3 linked regions of the Drosophila melanogaster genome follow. The protein of the gene in region 1 interacts with the protein of each later gene in a pairwise test. Each region holds a gene or a part of one and is shown in the gene's direction. Other genes may lie near its edges.

Evidence for each region.
Region 2: the proteins of CG11586 (region 1) and BaraA2 interact in a two-hybrid assay, tested with the Drosophila melanogaster proteins (one large-scale study listed by BioGRID).
Region 3: the proteins of CG11586 (region 1) and Pef interact in a two-hybrid assay, tested with the Drosophila melanogaster proteins (one large-scale study listed by BioGRID).

The regions. Positions count from the first base shown.
Region 1 is NT_037436.4:4,258,899-4,267,141, reverse strand, and holds CG11586 (uncharacterized protein), read left to right. Parts: upstream 1-4,671; 5' UTR 4,672-4,775; coding exon 4,776-4,878; intron 4,879-4,937; coding exon 4,938-5,419; 3' UTR 5,420-5,669; coding exon of another isoform or gene 5,670-5,780; 3' UTR 5,781-5,836; downstream 5,837-8,243. Other genes in the region: CG33764 (uncharacterized protein), read left to right, coding at 1-144, 198-353; VhaM9.7-a (vacuolar H[+] ATPase M9.7 subunit a), read right to left, coding at 4,071-4,328; CG1309 (uncharacterized protein), read right to left, coding at 5,670-5,780, 5,837-6,104, 6,171-6,774, 6,882-7,033, 7,085-7,398, 7,474-7,599; CG15011 (uncharacterized protein), read left to right, coding at 8,015-8,129, 8,196-8,243.
Region 2 is NT_033778.4:13,402,686-13,411,046, forward strand, and holds BaraA2 (baramicin A2), read left to right. Parts: upstream 1-4,325; 5' UTR 4,326-4,357; coding exon 4,358-4,409; intron 4,410-4,482; coding exon 4,483-4,695; intron 4,696-4,754; coding exon 4,755-5,257; intron 5,258-5,313; coding exon 5,314-5,319; 3' UTR 5,320-5,484; coding exon of another isoform or gene 5,485-5,628; 3' UTR 5,629-5,673; downstream 5,674-8,361. Other genes in the region: CG18278 (uncharacterized protein), read right to left, coding at 5,485-5,628, 5,688-6,325, 6,383-7,076, 7,130-7,132.
Region 3 is NT_033778.4:10,477,008-10,485,618, forward strand, and holds Pef (peflin), read left to right. Parts: upstream 1-3,155; 5' UTR 3,156-3,247; coding exon 3,248-3,256; intron 3,257-3,315; coding exon 3,316-3,535; intron 3,536-4,082; coding exon 4,083-4,162; intron 4,163-4,219; coding exon 4,220-4,283; intron 4,284-4,355; coding exon 4,356-4,582; 3' UTR 4,583-4,879; downstream 4,880-8,611. Other genes in the region: trsn (translin), read right to left, coding at 2,087-2,418, 2,475-2,590, 2,653-2,749, 2,816-2,903, 2,957-3,031.

The DNA.
Region 1 (8,243 bases):
GTGAATGGCTATATGCCCTTTCTCTACAATATGAGTTTTGATGCGTGCAGATTCCTAACATCGCCGAATCCCAATCCGGTTGCCCTTTACTTTTACAATTTTTTCAAAGATTACTCCAATATTAACCACTCTTGCCCCTTTGACGTATGTATTCCCCAAGGTAATAAAGTATAATATTCATATTATCTATATTTCAGCATGATATTATTCTGGATAAGATGCCATATCATAGTATAAACAATAAGGTTACAAAAATACTGCCCTTTCCGGAGGGAAAATATATGATTGAAATGCACTGGATAGCCTACGATATTGATCGAGCTATAACTAAGTTCTATTGGACACTTACTTGATACTAAAAGCAATCAAAAATAGAATTGGAATGCAAGTAATGAAGCATAAACTTAAAGACGAGCTTAATTATGAATGTATTTAGATATATTTGTGTATTGGTGGTGGATGATATGTAAAAAACTATGTAACTATCAGATACCCGTTACGCCGTTAGTGGGAATGCTCAAATAAAATCCAATATTTGTTATTTCAGTTACACTAAATGAATATGTTTTTCTTACAGTGCAGCGGAGTGCTCTTGCTCCATTCGCTTCACCGCAACGAACTCTTGCATTTGAGGTCGCTTTCCTCTTGGCAGGCGAAACAAAAGATCGGCCCATTAGAGGCGATTTTACATCATTTGAATGCAATTTAGCCGCAGCTTAGCTTAGCGTTATGTTCTATTTCTATTCCGGCCCGGCACGAACTGCTGGCCAGGCCAAGTCGGCTGAAGAGCCAGACGGAGATCAATCTGATGGCCAGTCTTCGGATTCTTCTGTCATTTGGCATTTGGCGTCGCGCAGAAGAATCGTGCGGCACGGATGATCAGTCGTCGGTACTGCCAATTTGGGCCAGTCGCGAGAGATATCATCATGATTAGACCCCCGTTTCTTGACCAATTTGTGATTCTTCACGCAGAATCATTCACTGCCGCGGAAGAGCGGAGAATCTGAGGCAAGACAAAAAGTCTTTTTTTTTTGTGGAGGCGGAGAATTAACCTGAGATCTTAAGAGCTCAGATCTCAGATCTCCGAGATCTTCGGCCTCTGACTTGACCGACTCTTAACGAGCGAAAGTGTTTCATTAACTCGTAAATGAATAATTTGAGTGTCGAGACAACGAAAACGAAATCAAAATAAACCAAAACAGAAACACAAATAACAAAAAAAAAAAAAAGAAAAAAGAAATGCTCGTAAAAATGTACATAATTTTTCAATCTCAATCTGGTTTTGCGCATTTCTATTTCGCCTGTCGTTTGATCCACTTCCGACTGACGAAAAAACATGAAAATTTTCATTGCCTCAGTGAAACTAATATGAGGTGAAAATTGTCAAAATAGGAAAAGAAGCACGAAAATGTGGTTAAAATAATGGGAGAAACACTGCAAATGCCTTACTGACAGTTAGACAGAAAAAACGAAAGAGCGAAAGATATGGGTGTGTTTATGCGTCTAGGATGAGATCTTGGATTCGGATTCGTCTGCTGGCTGGGATTTGGAAGTGGATTTGGCAACCTGTCGAGACAGCCTTGTCCCAGTCCGCATCCCAATCCGAGTGTCTCGTGCTGAGTCAGTGGCTCTGCTCATTTGGCACTTTCTCCGGCTGCAGTTATCAATGAGTCAGTTTGGATCGTTGGCGCATTTGCGTCAGTGCTCGGCTATTACTGGGTGCCCCGCCTCGAATTGGGTCAAAAAAAATAAAAAAAAATGTGGAGAAGAAGAATGAGTGCCGAGAGCCACAGCCTCTTCCTGTCTTTTTGCCGCTTTATTTTAAAAAAAGAACGAGAACCGTAAACGACTGAGATCTTAACTGCGACTAAAAATCAATTTCCGCAACGACATACATAGATAGGCGCATGCAAAACACTCATATCTGTAATGGGCACAGCTGCGGTCAGGATAATAGCACCCGGGGCTGGGCTCATAAAAACTTAATTGTTTAGAAATATTTAAATGCTGTTGTAAAATAGAAAAGTGGGCAAACTGAACAAGTAGATCACTAAAAAACATTCCTTCTATGTTATTATTAATTAAATGCATGAATAACAAAAAGGCGGTAATATAATGTATGTATGTTTATATACGTTTTCTTGTTTACATGTTTTATTATAGGCACATGTTTCTTCATCTAGGATCAACTGATCTTATGATGAAATGACATTTCTCTTCCATATTTGCAAACATCAGTAATGCATGTAATTTAATAAATCAGCATTAATTTTGAACAAGTTCTTAGTTATAGCTTGTCTGAACCCCCGAAGATGCCCCATAATTCCAATATACTATGTTCCTATCGATGCAACCGCTTCTATCTCCCATCGCCCATAACAATCCGCCGACATAATGGGCGAACCACTCATCTTATAGCGGTTAGTGGGATCGGATAATAATGGAGTTTCCTCCCGCGGTGCGCCATCTCCGATGTCGTGGCTCCAAAGCGGAGTGCAACGGGTCCGTCTCCGGAATGGCCGAGGGGAAAATGGGAAATGGCCACGAGCGAAGTGAACCGAGCACGGTGAACAGTGAGCAGTGAACTGTCGATTGGCCCAGTTCATGAACGTGGTAATTGCGCGGTTAGCGACATATAAAGCGACACCAAGAAGAATTGCGACGCGAGGAGGCAACAAAGCGATCTCCGGGCCTTTTGTTTTTTTTTCGAGCTCTTTGGACGATCACCTGTCCACCTTTTTAAGACATTCTCAACGCTTTTATTGGTGCCAGTGCCAGTGCCAGTTGGTTTCGGAATGGCTGGCTTGGGCGAATGCTCTTTGCTTCGTGCCGCCCTTTTTTTCGGGTGTTTGGCGGAGTCTTAATTTCTAATTTCTTTTATTACAGACTGTTTCTTTTTTATTGCCATTTTTTTTTTTTCGTTTTAACATCCATAATTTTGTTGCTTTGCCAGCTCGTTTGTGCGCGATTATTGTGCTTGGCCAGGCTTTTTAGACCTCTTACGCTGGTGGTAATGTAACCAGTTTCGGACCTTCTGCACACCCGGTGCTTTATGGCATGCCTAACTAGTTTATGGCCCAAGTCGCGAGACTTGGCTTAGGGAGAGTCCGAAGATTCCGGAATGCTCCTGCACCTTTCTTGCAAATTAAGTTGTAAACTCCTAACTAGCTCACCTGCCAGGTTTTGCTTCACTCAATTATCGTCCACCGTTGCAGAAGACGGTTTCCATTTGAGAATTAAGAATCACTCCCTGCGATCGATTTGTACTTGAATTCAATCACAAATGCTGCACAGTTTGGATTATTTTTTATGCGACTAATTTCTATTGATTCGGAAATTCACGGTATTTTCTTCCATGGGCACTGCAAAACCACACGAATCGGAAAAGCCAACTGATCGCGCCCGTGACTGAAGGTTAACTGAAGACGGTGGCTACAAATCTCGGTGGTGTTGGCCCCCAGCAGACGAAGAAAAGAGAAAAGAAGATGGGCTCTTTTTCTCTCTCTCCACTCTTTCTCTTCGCTCTGCGCTTATCAGCAAAAGTATCGTTATTCTTCTGTTATTCAAATGGACAGGGAAGGCATTTCTATTGTGGACCAGCTACTGACTGCAGTAGTTATAAAGAGAATTAAAATATGAATATGTGCAAACAGAAAGGAAAAGTTGGTTGTCTTTTTGTTTGGAATGTCAAAATACTTTCTTGTTTTTGGAATTTATTCAGCATAACTGTGTGGTAGCCATTAATTAACTAAAGAATATTAATTTAACTTAAATTATTCAAAAAATTAAATAGACCTATTATTCAAACTGTCTTCATTTATACAATTTATATTGGTAGAAAGAATATTTGGTTTGAAACAATAATAGTATTCTGCAGATGTACTAGTTGATGCCTATAGATTTTATTTACAAGGCAATCTAAATATTTAATTTATTATTGAATATCTGATATTTAAACAATTCGAAGTTAACAGAACACTTGATATTTTTACTTCTTATTTACAACGTAAAACAAACAGCTAATGTGACGATTATTGCAGAATAATTTAGTTAGCAGTCACTCTATTTTCCTAACCAGCCACAATTGGGTTGTTCCAGGACCTTCCAATCATGGCCACCACATCGCGCTTTAGTTTGGGCCCGATCAAGGGATTCATTTGGGCCATGTAGCAACATAGCCAGAAGAGCCAGCAGCAGGCGGCGGTCAGCATCAGGATGCAGCGGATCAGATTCTGGTGAGGTCCTTTGGGGGTCATTATGGGCATGGCGATGCCCACACCGCCCCACAAGGCGGTGAAAAACAGCACGGGAAAGAAAGCGGCACCCATTTTTTTGGCTATGAAACTTTAAAATACAATAATTTCCCAGATTTTACGGTATTTATTGCAACCTACCGTTTTTTTCCTAACTGCTGTATACGAAAAATCAATATTTATCGCACATCGATTATTTTACCTACCTGTGGTTATCGTCGATGTCCAAAATTAGGTCCATTTTTTTGTGTATACAGATTCGGACTTATATGCTATTAAATAAGCTTTAATTTAAACTTTAAATACAATTTTTTTAAATTAAAATTAACAACTGCTTTTACATTTTCACATCCGCCTTCTGGTTCCATCGATAACATTTAAAAAAAAATATCAAGTTGTCATCCCTGTCCAAAATCTTAGCTCAGACGCAAACCGCCGCATCGCTAACAAAAATATTTACAAATTTTCATTGCCTTACTTTTACCGAATAGATTTTAGTGCAATTGTCATCCCAGCGCCACCATGACGATGCGACCTGATGACCACCGAAGGAAATGGGACAAGAACGAGTACGAGAAGCTGGCGGCGGAGCGGCTGCTCAACCAGGTGGCACCCAAGGAAGAAGGTCAGTGTCTAAATTCCCTGGAAGGCACACATAATAAAAGTCTTTTTGTTTTTCACCAGAACCCGTACAGCGGGAGAACCTCAAGCGACGCGACTATAAGGTGGACCTGGACAGCAAGCTGGGCAAGAGCGTTGTCATCAACAAGAACACACCCACCTCGCAATCCGGTGGCTATTACTGCAACGTTTGCGACTGCGTGGTCAAGGATTCCATCAACTTTCTGGACCACATCAATGGCAAGAAGCACCAGCGCAATCTGGGCATGTCCATGAAGGTGGAGCGGAGCACCGTCGACCAGGTAAAGGAGCGCTTCCAGCAGAACAAGAAGAAGATGGAGGAGAAGCAGAAAGACTACGAGCTCGAGCGCCGCCTGCGGGAGGCCAAGGAGGAGGAGGATCGCTACAAGGAACACCGCAAGGAGAAGCGAAAAGAGCGGAAGCGCAAGGCCGAGGACACGGACTTCGAGTCCGGCGGCATGCCCGACGACATGGCCGCCATCATGGGCTTCTCCGGCTTCGGTGGATCAAAGAAGAACTCGTAGGAACTAAGTGTTGAACTGCCCCTCCCCTCCAATTTTAGCTGTACCATGAAATAGAAACTAACCACAAGACGACGCGTCTAGTTTAGCTTGTGACATTTATTTTGTATATAATTTCACACCAGTTCAGAAGACACCAGCTACCCGGCTGTTCCCAGTTAGAATAATTTAATAAGCAGTCAGAAGGCAAAAATTACTAAAAACCATTTTACTAAATCTAAGCATACGGCCGTGGATCACCTGCGGAATGAGCTTAGGTGAACACAAATCCCTGCTCAGTGGGTATGTCCCACGGCATGGTAAAGAACTCCCCGGGCAGCTGGGTGCAGTGCGTCGAGTTATAGTCACGTAAATGCTTGCGCAGCTGAAAGGTGAACAGTATTAGATATATAGACCATTTAAACTGCCGAATAAACCCACCAAGAACACAGCCATCAGATTGCGCACCTCCTCCGAGTAATCTGCTCCAATGTTCATGGGGAATGACTTGCCCTCGTCAGAGGCGTAGGTGATCAGGCGCGACATGCACAGCTTCTCGTCGGCGACGGGGATACTGTATGGTTCCAGGGGCTTAGACAGCAGCCCCTTGGCCTTATTCAACTGGGAAGCCCCAAAAATGTTGGGATACCGGTGCTTGAGCACTGACAAGACCAAGAAATTTCCGCGGTTTGTGTCAATGTGGTTGTCCCTAATGGAAATCAATGGGTTACGTTTTAGGAAAGACCTCTGCCCAAATGCAAAAGTTATCACTCACTCTGCAATGATCTCATCCTCAGTGCGGCGAATAAAGGATATGGGTCCATTGAACTCGTTGGCCAGTTCGGCATTGTTCAAATTACAGTAGTTTCGAATGGCTACCTTGACAATGCCCGCCAGTGCAGCTGGCATGCGAGGAACGGCCAAGTAGAGCACATCGTCGAAGGTGGCGTCTAGTACCACTCCCTTGACATCCGGATACACAGAGGCAGCGTATAGTGTACTAAAGCCACCAATGCTCCAGCCATACAAAATTATATCCTCTACGGGGAACCTAAGATTGTTGATGGCAAACTGCACCACGGCATCGATGGCGTTCTTGTCCTGGTGGGGATGAGGAGTGCCTGTGCTGCCGGCAAATCCGGGATGATTCCAGCCCAAAACGGAATACTTTAAGGCCACTGGGGTGGCCATAATGCCCACTTCATAAAAACCGGCATTGCCCTCGGAGCAAATGACTAGAGTCTTGCCATTTCCCACGTTGTTTGGGCGATTGTCAATGAACAACGTATCGATTTCGTTCGAGTCAATGGTCTTAACCTTGTAGCGGATGCCGTTGTCATCCTCGATGAGCTTGGCGCGTCCGGAGATCAGCATGGGTCCTGCAAAATATTTTAGGTTCAGTATATGTAGAAGTCTATCTTATGGGCTTATCGGATTGCAATTTAACAACATTTCAGACAGCTTCACATATGTATATCTTTCTTACTCATAAGTTTCTGGAGTAGTTTGACCGAACCCGGATAGATCATGGAGAGCCCAAAGGTGTTTATGGCCAGGTAGGCGATGGCCTCACAGGGCAGTGTCGCCAGCTGGATGGGCTCCCGCCTTCTAGCCGTAACCACCGGCTTTTTGGTATCACTGAAAACGAAGATGTTATTCTGGCACACTTCAAAGGCGTAGCCCACTCACCCGGTTAGAGCTTTCACATCAAAGTCCACCGGCCAAGCGTTGAACTCGATGTCGAAGCGACGCAGCTCGCTGTTGGCATCTCCTGGTGCCTTGGAGGACTTTGCTCGGACGAGGGCCTTAATCATGTTGGAGTAGGAGCGCGATTGCTTGCGCCCCAGGCCGCGCATCACCAGCGATAGGATGACGATGAGGCCCACGCTGGTGGTGATCTTGGCCAGCGTCGGTATGGAATCGGTCACCAGGTAGCCGCGTCGGTATAGGAATGTGACGAGCAGCGGAGAAGTATAATAGCCCACGGACCACATAACCGATAGCTGCAACGGAGAGTGTCGATTTTCCACATTACCATATGCTCCAGATTCTGCCCCATGGGATCGCAGGGCACTTACCGTCGATAGAATCTGCTCCCCGAACTTTTCCACGGCACCTGCCTCGTACATCTTGCGCTGCGGCTCCGGCACACCGCGGTATTCCATGTAGAGGTTGGGGCCAAACACGTAATTTAGGAAACTCATCTTGGATCGGATCGTAGTCGGTATGTCTGGATATATTTAATTTTCTCTATTTTATTTTGTTGCAAATGATGTGAAAGCTGTTCCAGGGTGTCGCACTCACGAACAGATGTTTAACATCGAATACCAGGGCTGCCACATTAGATACCTGACCTATTAATTGTAAACTTCAAAATGTTGGTCCAAATTATTAAATGCAATAAAATATGCAGAGAGGATGTTTGATAATTTAGGTATTAATGTGTATGTATGTATTTTTTTTGAATTAAATGAAATTCCCAATTGGAAACTGAAAGCTCACACAAATGTGTACCTTTCGGAACTAGATCCCCTAATTGCTGTTATCAGAGAACGAGCCATCCCTGGTTCTACCCCAGGAATTTATTCCCAGTTGATAGACAAAAACGCCGGCTTAAAAATGGAAAAGTTTAATAAAGCGCAAGCTAAAAATTTGGCTGCCGCCCAAAAACTGGTGGACACCTACGCCTCCAGCTCCGAGGATGAAGGCGAACTGGATGAGAATCACATTTTGGGTAAATCGACCGATGCTTGTGACGTGTCATTTGAAAACCATCAAATTTTGTGCTTTATCTTTTCAGAACTCCTATACAAGAACTACAAACCGTCGGACAACGCAGGAAGCTCAA
Region 2 (8,361 bases), on another chromosome or scaffold:
GCAGCAGTAGCATTTGTGGCCATGATAAAAGTTGCATGAGCTTGCACTGGGTACTTTATGCTGCTTTCCGCCGCCTGTTGCCTAGCTACTTGTGCACTGTTCAAAATTATTGGGTTTTATGTTAAGTAATGTTAAAGAAATATCCTTTCTTCTTATATCTTTTTAACTTTCTATAAAATTATTAAAAGCCAAGCAAATGAGGACTAGAGATAATCACGTTTTTGAACATTATGGTTATGTAGCTAAACTGTTATACACATAGAATGGGTATTAAAATAGAAAAGTTTGCTGTTAATAATCATATATCCCTATAAATACGAGTAGTGATTTATAACAAGACATTTAATGTACTACATTGCGTATGAATAAATCGAATCCCCTTTTGCTGACTGCACAGCATTTCCCAGAGAGAAGAAAGGTGAGAAAGCTTCGGTCTTCGGCCAGTCAGACGCGTTCCCAAGTTGCAGTCAAATTTTCATTTTTCCACTCACGTATTTCGATTAAATTCTCATTTTGGTCATAATTTTCCAGTTTTTACGTTGGCCTCGCCATTAAATTGCACCTCGGCTCTCTGGGACGGATGTGCGCCCAACTCCAAACTCGGTTTTCCCGCCAGTTGGCTTTGCTTCTTTATGTGCGTTGCGTATCGAAGGCATCAAGTTCTCTGTCGGCGAATACATTTAGAAAATTAAAAGTTTTCCAGGCAGCGGAGGTCCTACGAGCTAGAATAGATAGAATAGTAGTGTTTCTGCAATTGTTTGCGCGCTCTCCCAGCCATAAATCAATTTGCAGCGCCCAAGTTTTATTATGGCTGCATAAATCCGTTAACAAAGCCCCAGCCACCTGATGCCCAGATTTACGTATATATATACTTACATACGTATGTCGTGCGAATGCCTGGCTAATTTTGCGGCACGCACACTACCGCTTATTCCCAATGAGCATTGAACGATGTCAGGATGCGGATACAACAGGTTTATGCCACATATCGTTGGCAGCGACAGTTGGCTTATAGTCGCACAGCAAACTTTTTGCGCGTAATAAATTGATAAATAGTCCAGCACGCATACATGGCCCCAAAGTGGGGCTATACTCGTATATAGGTACATATATATATATCTGTGCAGCTGCCAAGTATGCAACAGTTTTCGATTGCCAGCGTCCATGCAGGCGACTGCAAAGTGTTGCATACTTCTTGGCTGAAACCACTTTGTATCCGGAATCCGGATTATATTCGATTTGGTTTAGACTTTGCTGACTTAAGGATTACGAGTCCCTAGAAAGCGAATAAACAATTCGAAATCGTAGTTTTGGTAGTTTTGTTACTGTTTTTATATTGTACCTTTAATTCTATTAAGGTAAAAATCTTACCAAATTTGTTTTAAGGAGTTTTAGGTAGTTCTTAAGACAAATGAAACTCTAATTAGAGAATTTGACTACCTACATTTACTATGACACTTAGTGATTAAACGCTAAGTAATTATGTGGAAAATTTATTAGTTAAATATACTATATTATATTCTTAAACAAAGGTTTGATGACTACTACTAAGTAAGCATAAAATTTTAATTAAAATACTCATATATTTATATAAACATTTAATATGAAATATAAGCATGCATAAATCTACTTTAACCAACCAGCACTAGCTCCTCCCCAACCATGAACAACACTCTGATGAAGTGCAGCATGTCCCCCTGAAATGGATCTTTGTAATCCCGGCAAGAGACGGTCTTATCAAACAGCGTAGTCAATCAAAAGTAAACATTTCAGCCCCCACAACTGGCCGATGAGAGAGGGGGGCTCCCACAATTTCAGCATAATTCACGCGAATTCATCCGTCTGTTGTTTTTCGATTATGTCGCATTGTCTTGGCTTAAACTTTTTCGGTGGCCCAACGACAAGAACTGAGCCGAACTAAGAACTGAACTGCAAAGTGATCCGAACTGGACAGCAACTCGGATGGGTTGTTGCCTGGCAATATTACAGCGATTCCTACTTATGCCTCAATTCGTTTGCCTTGTCACGGCGAGTGCTCAAAGGAGGTGATGGGTTCGAGGAAGCGAGGATGCGAGGATACTGGGATGCTTGGATGCTTGGATGCTCGGATGGCCGGATGGTTGGGTGTGCGCCATTCGAGCGACATGACAAAGGGGCGCAAAAAGGACACCCGGCGCATCCTTGGACCCGTGCATCACAAAACATGACATGGCACGAGCCATTCCGTTTGTTTTTTCTATTCCCATTTTACAGCTGTCCATCCGCTGGCCAAACAAATTTTTCCACTGTTTTTCGCTGCGATCCCTGAGTAAAATATTATGTTACACGGTGGACACAAAGAAAGCGCTGGCAGCCAAGTCGCTACGACTAAATATGGAAATGAACGAATGAAATGTTCGCCGGAGGCGCATTTAAATGCAATAAAGAAATAGATGGGTTTTTCTTTTTCCACCCACCCCCACCACCACTTATGCATATGCAACAAGCCGCACACAAGCAATTCATTAAGCGCAACGCAACTGTGGCAAATAGAAAATTACCGACAAAACACTGGCCGACAGTTTACGAGCCGCAGACACTGAACGTCGAATGGGGCAGCAGCATATTTACAACTTTCAAATGCCTCATTTTATTGGTCTCGAAATGAACAAATGGCGCACAGGCCACAGGGACATGGACCTTCTGCTACTCCTCTACACATTCGACTCCTTCGCCTTGCTGGCTGGGAAAAAATTTTGCATAATTTATGTGGGTGCCGCGCACACGGAGGTCCCGACGGATTCGAAGTATCCGAAGGATTCGAAAGGAAAACAACGCACGAGCACCACGGCCAACTGATTTAAATGCAATTGCACTGAAGTATTTTGTTTGGCGAACGAAGCTGGATGAAATAGGGGGGTGTGGGGTTTTCTATTGAGACATCTGCACGTGCAACCGGAAACATCCGAAGAGAACAGCACAGGCCGGGCTACGCCGGGCAATTTCTTTTCATTTGCCAAGGTGTTGAGTTGCACCAACATTCGACATCGACGTGGCCAGAAGCCAACAAAAGCCAAGAGCCAAACCCCTTTTTGTGGTCACAAGTGTCGTCTATTTGTCGTGGGCATCTTGGGCACCTTGGGCATCCTCGACATCCTTGCCATTTTGGTCTGGCCAAGACAAACAACCAGCAAATTTAGTGTATTTTGTGCATTTTTAAAATTGTCCAAATTTATGTGACACGCTGCGCCAATTGATCAGATTAAATAAACATGAGGCCAAGCGAATCGAATTTGGCTTCACCAAGAAGACAATGCAGTCTGTATTCAAATGGGTGGGCGCATCCACCAAGCGGTGAATACAGTGACCGCTCGCTATAATGGACGGTCAGGTGTTACTTTAACTTAAAAAAATATGTAACAAATCTTATCAAGTTTGAAATAGATTGAAATAGATTTGGTTATTGCATTCGAAAGATATATATTAAATTCGAATATTCCAAGAAATTTCATGAGAATGTCACTTATGTCATGAGATTATATTAACGTACGAATAAACAATGTATTTTCCAAAATTAAAAATAAAATTTAATTTAATTACGCAGTACCTTTACACTATCAGTCGGAGGTAATAACTCATATAATTAGATTAGCATTAGCTTTTAAAGCGAAAAACACTTAAAAGCTGAAATTATTAGACAACACTCTTAAATTAGTCGAGCTGATATATAGCCTCAAGTTTTGCTTAAATCCAAAGATAAAGGAATGCCTTCAAAAATATATTTTGTTTTATACCAAGTGACAGCAGAGAATGGGGTTGCAATATCTTAAAAGAGTTTCACTTAGCCAATATTTACTGCCATTGTTGGCCACCAAATAGTAGCAACCAGAGACTTCCAGGAATATATTCTCGTGTCAAATGCAATCCACTTTAAATGCAACTATCTGGCGGCTAAGAAAACCCGACAGTTTGATTCAAGTCGACGAAACAATATAAGCACGTGCTAAATAAAGAGACCTATGCAGTTAATACTCTTGTCATATTATAATATAATTTAGTGACATAAGTTGCATGGTATACGAGTACTGAACAAGTTATGGCAGCTTTTCCAAATAAGCGATCACATATTCCGCGGGATGATGGGTGGATTTCTAGCATATGTGGATGCTTAATGGCTTATTGCGGGTCAGGGCGGCGCAATCTGTTCAGAAATTCCCGAACGCACACCCATTTCAGATCAGATTGTGACGTTTTGGGAAATTCTTGACGATCGGTGTAAACAAGCTCAGCAACCAGATTCGATGGCTATGTGCCGGCTATAAATACTAGAAACCATTCGATTGCACTCAGTTGAAGCTGGGCTCTGGAACAGATCACAATGAAATCGTTTGGATTGATTGCACTGGCTATCTGTGGCGTTATCTGCGTCGGTAAGTAGTAACCTCTGGATATAATATAATATTTCGCGAAAGCGGTTACATAACATTATTATAATCCTTGCAGCTGCGGAACCACAACACACCTACGACGGTCGCAATGGGCCGCATGTCTTCGGTTCACCGGGCAATCAGGTCTATATAAGGGGCCAGAATGAAGGCACCTACAGCGTGCCGGGAGTGGGTGGCCAGTTCCAAAACGCTCCTCAACGGGGTGAGCATGTGTACACCGATGAGGCGGGCAACACGTTTGTTAACCGAAAGAACGCTGGTGGACCAGGTAAGTTTAAGTCTCTATACAGATTCTCGAAGATCCTAATGCTATATTCATAATTTCAGCTTCCCACACCATCAGTGGTCCCAATTTTTCCGCCAAAAATTTAGGGCCCAATGGAGCTAAGAGCGTGGGAATCCCACAACGTGCCCGGCGCAGTCCGCAGTTTCACGTAGAGCGTCCCGGTCGCACTGTTGACGTTGGAAACGGAGGATTCTACATTCAGCGTGGCCGACGCAGTCCACAGCTTCATGTGGCACGCCCAGATCGCACCGTAACCATTGGTAATGGCGGCGTCTATATTCAACGCAGTCGACGCAGTCCACAGTTCCATGTGGAGCGACCAGATCGCACTGTTGATTTCGGTAACGGTGGCTTCTCCGCTCAACGTTTCCGCCGTGGGATCAACGATGCCCGCGTCCAGGGTGAGAACTTTGTGGCCCGCGACGATCAGGCAGGAATTTGGGACAATAATGTCTCCGTTTGGAAGCGTCCGGACGGACGCACTGTCACAATCGATAGGAATGGTCATACCATCGTGTCCGGAAGGGGACGTCCCGCTCAGCACGTAAGCAATCTCACGCATTTAACCAGCGCAATCAACTAACTTATTTATGTTTTCAGTACTGAAACGGTTTCAAATAAGTGTAACTTTAGACTGTAAAATACGATTAATATGAGACTATGTATATAGCAACATAAATCACATGATATCTGAATATGAAATCTATATGCGCCCAGCGGACTTGAATTTGGTTTTGGATTACTATTTGGCTAGGAGTAATATGCATATATCTATACAAAACACGAGTGGCCCGAACACTGTGTGAGATTCTTGAGACGCAACGAATACAAAGCTCGTTCAATGGGCAGCAGATCGTAGGCAATGTTGGTCATTTGAAAGGGATCCAGTTGCAGGTCATATGCCTCCAAAAAGTTCTGAAATATTTATAAACACATGAAATATATAGAATGGCAAATGTCAAATGCTTCTTTACCTCGTTATCCCGAAATTCGCAGTAAATGCGATCCTCGCGATGGCGAATATTTCTTAAGCAGGCGTAGGTGTTGTTCCATGCATCCTGGCAATGGCAATCCGCTGCGGGGGTGCACTGCGCCAATCGATCCTTTTCTGGCCAAGGGCATTCAGGATTAAAGGTGGCCAGAGTTCCCTCGCCCCAGTACTCGATCAACAGGGAACGCTCGAAAAATGGAACCCTTCGCCTTTTGTTGAGCAAAAGCTCGTGAAATGATTGCCCATCCATGTAGGATGGTGTGTCGATGTCGGCCCAGGCCAATATAGTCGGTGCCAAGTCCACTAGACTGACGGCAGTGTCAATGTGGCTCTCAGGTGCTATTCCAGGTCCCCGGATTAGCAGCGGTACGTTAATATCCGTTTCGTAGGGCTGTCTCTTATCGAAGGGCTGTGCAAACTGCCCCACATGGTAGCCGTTATCCGAGGTGTAGATAATGTAGGTGTTCTCCAACGATTGCGTATCGTTTAGCACTCCCATCAAGGTGACGACCAGTTCGTCCACGGCCAGCAGCGTTTCCCAGCGTTTCTGGAAATACGTGTCTATGGTGTTGATGGTTTCGTTGGGCAGACGACGTGCTGCTCGCACCAACCAGTGCTTATCTAAAAAGGGTACTTATGTATATTGGTGGCATAGATATCATTTGATAACAACCTTACCCTGCTTAACTTGATTGAAGCTGGGTGTGCGCAGGGCTTCGATATGGGAGAACACACCCTCATGTCTTGGTGCCGGAGTGAAGGGTTCATGGGCTGCCGGTGGGGCGACCATCGCGAAGAACGGTTCCGAGGATTGTGTAGCATTTCTTAGAAAGTCAGCGGCGCGATCTCTTAGCAGATCGGTTAGGTAGGTGGACTCGTAGTGCACGTTGCCGCTATTTTCGCGCAGTGTGTAGTTATAGTATCTAGAGTTCCCGTGAAGGCCATAGAAGTGGTTCCAACCCTTTGGCACATCCCCAGCACCCCAGTACTGATTCAAGTACTTCCCGCCAAAGAAGGTGTTGTATCCGTGCTGCTGCAAGATGTATGGCAAGGCCCGGGGCTCCAGCGCTCGCCGCCAGTGTGGTCCGTAGCATCCACCACTTACGGAATTGTTCCGGGTGCCGTGATTGTGCGCATACATGCCCGTCAGCAGACTCGTCCTCGCCGGACAGCAGATGGGCGAGGGCGTGTAGGCGTTGTGGAACAGGGCGCCACCGAAACCCAGCATTTCGATCGTATGCTCCATGGGAAACATACCGCGCAGCTCCACATCCTGATCGTCGGACAGGATCAGCAGAATGTTGGGCAACTTCTCGCTGGCCGTGTTTCCCAGGCAAGCGAGGACTAGGATGATCAGGGGGGCTAAGCTGATCTGCAGAAATCACCTGATATAAAACATATAGGATATTAGTTTGGAATACTCACCATGGAGCAGATCGAAGTTTTCTTTTGTTTACATAAAATTTGTGCGATAACAAAGCCCGGCTTGCAAGTGCAGTGTTGTAAAAGGCAGCGGCGATCTTTTAGTGTTAGCCAATGGCCAACCGAAATAGGACAAACTCTAAACCTAATCAAATTATATTGAAAGTATCATTTTTACCTATTTAGTAAACTGCACTTACCACTTGTGAAAATACGAACATCAGCTCTCAGGCGCGCGAATTATTCAAATTCAAATATTCTTCCAGGGGTGCCATATGTCTAAACTTATTTAGCGTCGCGTTGCCAGACAACAGTAGGGTAATGGGGTGTACACACTGTACTTTTAATCAACTGTTAAGCTTACAGTTGGCGCCAAACAAAAAATTCAAAACTTCTTAGTTATTTCCAGACCCCGTATTTGAAAGCCAACAAGCCACGTTAGAGAAATATGATTTATTTCCATTAAATATCAGCGGTTCGGTGACCGAAAAATACAGATTCTTTGCTGACATCAATATGTTTTTTTGAAATTCACAATAATGTAATGCATATGTAGGTACAAATGTTTACAGTTTACTTAGAGATAGACTTTTTTAAAAAAGAATGCAAGTCTGTATCCGTATCACAAAGCTGCGCCGCGGACAAGGGGACAGATACAAAAAAAAAAAACAAAACCGAACTCTAGCCTCTTAAATGTGTTTTTTTTCCTCGCGATCTTACAAAATAAATAACAGCAAATAGAAAGATAAACTTACATATAAGCGCAATATTCAAATGTTTCAAATGTTGTGCATTTTTAAAATTGTCCAAATTTATGTGACACGCTGCGCCAATTGATCAGATTAAATAAACATGAGGCCAAGCGAATCGAATTTGGCTTCACCAAGAAGACAATGCAGTCTGTATTCAAATGGGTGGGCGCATCCACCAAGCGGTGAATACAGTGACCGCTCGCTATAATGGACGGTCAGGTGTTACTTTAACTTAAAAAAATATGTAACAAATCTTATCAAGTTTGAAATAGATTGAAATAGATTTGGTTATTGCATTCGAAAGATATATATTAAATTCGAATATTCCAAGAAATTTCATGAGAATGTCACTTATGTCATGAGATTATATTAACGTACGAATAAACAATGTATTTTCCAAAATTAAAAATAAAATTTAATTTAATTACGCAGTACCTTTACACTATCAGTCGGAGGTAATAACTCATATAATTAGATTAGCAT
Region 3 (8,611 bases), on another chromosome or scaffold:
ACGCATGTCTAACGAGAGCGGTACGATCGAGGTATTGGTGGCTCTGGAGGGTCGGGTTCCGAGGGGCAGCACAAAGGCGCTGGGAACCAGTTGCGCTGGGACCCCTTGCAAATCATTCACAGCTGCCGCGGCCAGCGCAACGAAAATTGATAAAGCGAGCGGGGTATCTTTGAGATACTCGACTACAAGATATCCACTATTACATGGATTCACATGAGTTATTGAACTAAAAGTGCTGTGAACATTTCTGAAGTACTGCGACACTTAAAAACGTAACACACTATTGGTTGAGTGTGGTCGTTAAAAGCGGTCATAACAAGGTATACCTAATATTTTTATTTGACAACCATATTCAATGCAGGTTAATAGTTCTATAAACGTGTAATTACCATGCGAAATAAACAAGCAAACTTACTAAAATGATTTTGTCTCAAGACATACCCACTACTAATTGAATACTTACAGTAGACGATACTCAAAAAAATATGACTTTGAGGAATACAACTAATATTAGGGCGTATTTTAAAATTTTTCAATTTTTTTTAAATCTTTTTCGATACTAAAATATATTCTATATATTATTTTTTGTTTTTTGATGTATTGAAAATACACATACCCTGCAAGTCTTTAATTGCCGGGTATGCAAGCAAAACACTCAATGAAGGAGGTCCATAGCTAATGGTTTCGCTACTTTCCATAACAGTTAGCACTCGGATTCTGGGTTTATTATATTGACTTTTTGTTGTTGGTTTGCGGCTGGGCTTTTCCTTGGCATTTTCCCTTCGAAATGAGAATGCAAGAAAGTTGGAATGGGGGTAGGAAGAAAGAGAGACGCAGAGAGCAACACCTGCCCGTCAGTGTGTGGGTGTCTGTTGTGGTTTTGCTTTTCAGATGTTTACGTCGAAAGCTCTCTCAGTATTTCTCGCTCTCCTCCCACTCAGTGCGTTGTAAGAAGAGGGGAAAGAGCAACAAGGAGAGAGCGTGCCCCGTTAAGCCTCTCAGGAAACTTGTTTCGGACTTTGAACCGCTTCGATTAAAGCGTGTTTTGAAAAACACCAAACAACAACTATGTCTGCGGAACGAAATAAAAAAATTAAAACAAACAAACAACAACAAGGCAACTGCAGACTCAACTAAAGTTTTGTAATAAAAACAGTGCTATTTGTTTAGTGACCATTTCGGGCAACAAGTTTTTACCAGATTTGTGACCCAATTATTGCCAAACAGGTTGGAGTCTCTCAGTTTTTAGCTTTTTTTTCGGGCCGGGGACGGAAAAGGGGGCGTGGTCAAGAGAGCGGGTGAGTTTCTGGGCCAACGGACTTTTCACACGGCCAACTGCCCGCCAGACTTACTTTCTTGAAATGGTAACCAATTGCAGTCTCCACTTTCAAATCAAAATGCTAGAAAGGGCGAAACAATAAAGAGCGCACAAAGCGGGAAAAAACAATAAGAACAACACGGGAAGGACGACGGACGACGAAGCAGCAAACAAGAAAATGCAAAGACGCGCGCGCAATGTTAACGTTGTAAGCGTTGCGGTGGCAAAAGAGAGACTGAAACTGCGCCTGAGAAGCAGAAGCAAAGGCGAAACGGAAGCAGCGGCCAAAGAAGAGCAGCAACAAATCCACCATATGATCGGGGCAACAACAACAACTGCGGCCCAGTGGTGGTGGCTAAACAAGTTTCAAAAGGGTTAAGCCATCAAACTTCTGCACTTGTCTCTATGTATACTTAGTTATGATTTAATCAAAACGCGCACAGCCATTTTAATTACCTTTAAGTTGCACAAACTTATGTTTTTTTGTTATGGTTCAAAGCACTATTTCGCTTCTGTGTAAACTGATCATTAAAATAAGATGGTGCCTATTAAGATGTAAAGAAATGTGTTCTGAAAAAAAACAAAAACACATTTCAGATTTTTAACACAGGATTACATACATATATCCTGCTACATTTGATTCCTACGAGCATTCCTGATTTAAATAGTAAAATAAAATGATACTCTGTTTAATGAATGTAATATATTTGCTTGTTTAAATGAAACTTTTTCATTTTAATAAACGCCTTATCCTACGTACGAAGTAAACTATTCGGTTGCAGGAACAGCCGGCTCCTCCTGCTGGTCCTTTTCCTTGCTGGACAGACCGCGTATGCTGACATCGTAGACGACCTCCTCGATCTTCTTGACATCATACTTTAAGGCATCGAAGCGCTTTCGCAAGCCATCGTTCTTCAGGTTCAGCAGACGGAAGCCCGTGTTCAGGTCACCAATAAAATGGGAGATATTCAGGGGACGCTCGTAGTCGCCCATGGTGACGGAATTGGTAGCGAATCGGGAGAGCTCCGACGCCAACTGCAGTATGCCCAGTAGATAGTCCTCCACATCCAGATGGAAGCCCTCAGACTGGCTGATCTTCACTGTGGAGTAATTAACTATTATTTCGTATCCAGAGAGCCTTCCAAATCTAGCTTACATCCCAGCATTTCGGCCACTGTTTCGCGGGTGACCAAGAAGCCCGCCTCCAGGTAAATAACCAAGGCAATGATGAAGATCAAACGCTGCGTAATGAAGGTCCAGTGATCGGAGTATCTGGAGAAGGCGGAGCATTCGACACCCACAATAGACACCACGGATTTCACCATCTGACTCACCTGTAGTACTGCCCAGCTGGCACCAGTTCGGCCAATTTCTGGTACTTTTGGGCACACAGCTCAACCTGTTTGCGGGCTAAGCCGCAGGCGGCACTAACTATTGTTCAAGTATAATGTCATATTAGAACAAAACATACAAGCTACCAAATTGTACAGAACTTACTCTGGCTCAAATCGCTATGAATAATCTGCAGTTTAATCTGCGCTTCCTTTGACAAATGCTCGATTTCGCGCACCACAATGCGGATGTTCTAAAAACAATGGTTTAAGATGGTGGTTTTTAGGATATTAACCGTCAACTCACCTCCCTGACTTCCTGTTCATTGTCTATGTACTTTTGGTAGTTGGAGAAGATGTCCAAGTTCACGAAGTTCGACATTTTTGCTTAATGTTTTGCTGCTTTTGTTAGTTGTTTATACCGGCGATAGGGATGGGAGTATAGCCAAGCAATAAGTCTAGCAATGCTATCGATATGTCACATTGTTATCGCTTGCCCAAACCAGTGTTGGTGAACGCCCTTCTTGTCATCTGTAGTTTCATTAAAATTGTTTTGTCCCTCAAGTTCCAATTAGAATCGAACTAGGCTCGTGACAAAATGTCTTATGTGAGTGTGTTTATGCTTAAGAAAGTGGATTAAATGTACTTACTACCGTTTATCCACAGGGACAAGGCTATAACCCGTATGCCCAGCCCGGTGGTGGCTATGCCCCGCCGCCAGGAGCATTTCCGCCGCAGAATGCCCAGGTGTCTCCGCAGGCACAGCAATGGTTCTCCATGGTGGACCGCGACCGATCTGGAAAGATAAACGCTTCCGAGTTGCAGGCGGCCCTGGTGAATGGGCGTGGCGATCACTTCTCGGATAATGCCTGCAAGCTGATGATAAGTAAGCTTAAGCCCTGCCCAAAAAAGATCCCAAAGTTTCCTCTACAGGAACTGTGACGTCAGTAGGTGAACACTAACAAACGTGTATACACTGTATACTATACAGTAGACCCTCTAAAAGACGATCATAAGCTAAACTAGTTTGGTAGGCAATATAGTAACACAAGAACACAAGAACAGGTTGTCGATTTGAATCTTCTATGCGTAGCCTAGCACACCCGCTGTATGCCAAGAACCAATGAAGGGCACATGGGCACATATATTTAGATCATCCTGTGAGCTGATGATAGCTAAGTAAGCTTCAGTTATGAAATACTTTAAAATTCCTTCGATTCCCCTTCCGGAAACTGTGACGTCAGTACTCCCCTAACAGACAGTCAGTATCAATTTAGTTATACTTTCGGCTATAAATGTTTCACTGTATTTATTGCCCCAATTTAGGGTACATGCATATTTGTTTAGATCACCTGGAGCGCCAGACACTTTTCCGTTTGTTTACCCTGCGATTTATGTTGTATTTTTATCGCCTTTTTTAATTTACTCAACAGGCATGTTCGACAACGACGCCAGTGGTACCATCGATATCTATGAGTTCGAGAAGCTCTACAACTACATCAACCAATGGCTGGTAAGGTATTTCTTATATCGAAACTAAGTAGTCTGACTCATTGTATCACTGTTGCAGCAAGTCTTCAAGACCTACGATCAGGACTCCTCTGGACATATCGAGGAACAGGAGCTGACCCAAGGTAAGCTAACACAACAACTGAATCTCCAATTCCTTTATGGCCTTTTACACTAATTACCAAACTTGTTGGCAGCCTTCACCCAGATGGGCTTTCGATTCTCGCCCGAATTCATAAACTTCCTGGTGAAGAAGAGCGACCCCCAGGGCCACAAAGAGGTGTCCGTGGATCAGTTCATAGTGCTCTGCGTGCAGGTGCAGCGTTTCACGGAGGCCTTCAGGCAGCGCGACACCCAGCAGAATGGAACCATCACCATTGGGTTCGAGGACTTCCTCACCGTGGCCATTGGCTGCTCGTATTGAAAGAATGATTCAATGCAACCGCTCCATGGGAATGCATCTCCACAGTCTTGCACACACACACACACACACTACAGCCAACAGTGGATGATCATAAATTTCGCGACTGGTGCATTTTTCTTAAATTTTCAACGGTGTTAGCTTTTTAATATGTAAATGAATCACTCCACAGTCATATTGCAATCTCCTGGTATCAGAATCAAATTTCAAAAGTATTTGTTAACGCAGTTCGACTCAATAATCATAGTACAAAGTCTCTTGCGCCTAATAATAAACTATACACACGTATTTTTAAAAATTAAAAGATATCTGCGTTTTATTTAAAATGTAAACATTGTATATGAAAAGTTCATTATAAAATCATGTCTTATTTTAGCAGTCACACTGCCCACAGTTCGTAATCGTGTCTTCGTCGATCGGTGAAGACCACGTGATATGCAGTTAGGAATTATAATCTTATTAAGTATACAATCATAAAATATCGGGCGATTCAATGTGACGGCACACAAGCTTAATGGTAAGATACAAACATTAATATCAGTTAAAACATTTAGGCATAATAAGTGTTTGGTTTTTGGTTTGGGAATCGTACAATGTTCCAATTTTTTTGTTTTTTTTTTGGTCATGGGTTAATAATTTTTAAGATACAATAAACTCAGTCTTAAAGTCCATAAATATATGAAACGAATGTCTTCAGGGCGAGGAATAGTTGGTTTTCAATTGGTTAATTAATGGTTTGTTCAGTTGTCAGTTCAATGCAATTCTCTTAACTAATTCAGTCATAATGTATATCATTGTAAATGGCATCGATTGAGCTTATCGAGTAGTTACCAAAAGTTTTGGTCTTAGTAGCTTAATCAAGCCAAGTCAAGAGATCGTTGGATGGCAGAGGGTTTCTGGGCAAGATGCTGGGAACTTTTTGGAAATACGCACACGGCGAGGCGAACCCTTTCTAAATACTTTTTTTCTGGACAACATCGTGATATCTTAAATAGTAGAGACCTTAGAAAATATTTGAGTGTTGTTTGATAATATTTTGCACACTTAATCGTAAGTATAAAATTGACATTTGGTGAATGATCATTTTATACAATTTAAGAGATATTAACTGATGCTTTAACGCATAAATGCATCGTTAGAAAAAAGGCTTTAAGACTAATTTGATTATATGCTTGATTAGATTGGCTTGCATTTGCTTACATTACATAAATTACTACAAGTAAACATTAAATATTTGGGATGACACATGAATGACAAGAAATAAATTTCCACAAATCCAATGGACAAAACAAGACACCAGACGTAAAATATATTGTATATCAAATGGAAGCATCACTCGGTCCCCGTACAAATTTATTTGGTTTCAAGCTCTCCCTTCCCATTGAAGTCGATGATCAGCTTGCCCTGCGAGTCATCGGACATGGAGCCGCTCATCCCGTTTTCGCGATTCATCGAGTACTTCGATCTCCTCTTGCTGGGCAGCTGGGGCAGATCGGTGTGGTGCTTCCTCACATGGACACCGAGATTGCCGCGCTGTTTCGACTTGTAGGGGCAGTAGGGACACTGATGCGATGGCTCCTTGCCGCCACACTCGACATTCTCGTGGCGCCGGAGTGTGGACTTCCAGCGATACTTCTTGCCGCAGTGACGGCACTCGTATACGGGTTCGCCATCCAGGCCGATGCCATTGGGACTGGTGGTGCTGCCATTGCTGCTGCTGCCGCCATAATCGCTGAGTGTAAACTCCAGGTTGCGGAAGGCCTGATGGGCATCTAGAATCGAGCTGGCCGATCCTCCATGGGCATTGGCATTGAACATGCCCATGCCGGAGTTGTTGCCGAACTTGCCACCGCTTTGCTCCATCAGGTGTATGTCATCGAAGGCATGATAGCGACCCTCTTCGTCGTCCTCGGTCGAATAGCCCGGTTCGTTCTCACACTCAGAGTGGCGGAGGTCGCGCTCTTGCTGCTTTCGCAAGAGGTTCTCCAGAATTTTAGTGGGTGTTATGTCGCCCCCAGCGATTTCGACATCGTTTTCCTCCTTGATGCGACGATGGGGTGTCTGTTGGCGCAGTATCTCCTGGGCACGCAACTGCTGCTGGAAGTTGTGCAGTCCATTTCGCATCAGGGCCTCGGCAATTACGGCTGCCTGCGGTTTCGGAGTCAGAGCCGCCGCACTATTGGCCACCAGCACCGAAGTGGGTATGGCCGTGGTATGCTCCGTGGACGATGCCGCTGTCTTCAGGGTGTATTTGGGCCTTGGATGAAATGAGGCGGCGGCGCCAGCGGCAGCACCCACCACACGCGTAGCTGTGGCGTTCTGAACTCGCATCACTTCATCAGCATTCAAGTTTTTTGAGGCCGTCTCGGAGGCCGTACCATAAACGGCAATGGCCGAAATGGTCGAGGGATCTAGGATCTCACCGGATGTCGGCGAGACCTGACGGTGCGGCTGCTCCGCCTTGGGCACCTTGGCCGATTTGGTCTTGTAGAACTCGAACAGCATGTCGGAGACCTCGGTGACGGACAAGCGCTTGCGCCGAGATCCGGGCAACTGGATCTTCTGCTCATCCCGCTGCTTGCCATTGAGAATGCTGCGCTGGAAACTGCGCTGAATCTCGGCGGTGGACGCCACATCGGGTGCGGTGTTCTCCTTCCTGCTCAAATCTGCAATTGGAAACATGGTTGCGATTGGTTAATTTAGTTTCTGGGTTTTTTCGTTCAAGTCACTCCGTTCGAAGTTCCTTCGCTTTGGTCTATGTCAATCGTTTGGATTGAGCTGCGTCAAATGAAAAAGCAAGTTTTAACACTGGGACTGCTGGGATTAGGGCAAAAAATGTTGTTAGATGAATGGCATGCAATAAATAGGCAAAATACACTACAAGTAAATAAATAAGTAAAGCAAAACGCATAATTTCGCATTTTTTTAAAATTAAACAAATAAAAGTACACATTGTAAAAAATTTTATTAATTCGGTAAACACATCTTTGGCATAAACAAATAAAATTGAAAAGCTCGGCAAATGAACACATTGATTTTTGTTTGATGATGGATGTTGATGGTGTGGCTGATGTGTGTTGATGGTTTTTTGTGATGGGTGAGTTTTTTTTTTTTTTAACCAAAACCGTTTTACAATAACTCATAACCTGAGCCATCTAGAAAATAGAAAAAAAAATAGATTAGCTATATATGAAATGATTTAAATTAAGCACTGTGTTAATCCGCAAATGTGTAGCACCTATAAATAAATAAAAAAAAGTGCATATTAATTTGTATGTTTAATAATTTGTGGAATGTGCTTCTTCACTGCTTTTTTTTTGTGTAGTTATGTGATAATAAAGCCTGGTAATTAAAAAATATCTGAAAGTGCTAGAAAATGAGGCACATATCTAGACACTTATTATTGTCACCAGGTATATTTAATTTAATATATTTATAATCACAACACACGTTTAAAAGCACATTTCTAGTGCAGGCTGCTGTTTTTGCCTTTGGAAGTTGGCCTGGGCCGATGCAACATAATCATTTAAAATTTTAAAATAATTTTTTTATTTAATATCACAGTGGCTATTGCAAGCTTTTACAGCTTTTTTCGCTGGTAATTTGCATTTCAGCCCACGACCAACGCACCAAAAAGCGTCCACACGGCAACACAATCAACACTGCACTGGTTGGCTGGATCTAGCTTACGGATTTTCAATCCTCAAGTCCTCGATTCCGAAACGCAGCTGCATCTGAAAAATGCTCGTCTGTCTGCATTTGTGTGTGTGTGTGTGAGAGAGAGTATCTGTGTGTGAGCCGTGTGTATCTGTTGCACAGCAAGTGTAGCCTGCCTGCTTTTTGGGATCGGCTTCATTTCGAATCCTTGATTTATTTTCGGGTTTTCTACCTAAACAGCTCAACAGTTGTTGTTGTGGGTTGATTGTTGTCCCTTCTTCTCTTTCTATTTGTGGAAAACTGCAATTCGGAAAACTTTCTCTGAGAGAAACACCACTCTCTGCTTATCTAAGCGCGGAGAGAGTGCATTTCAAA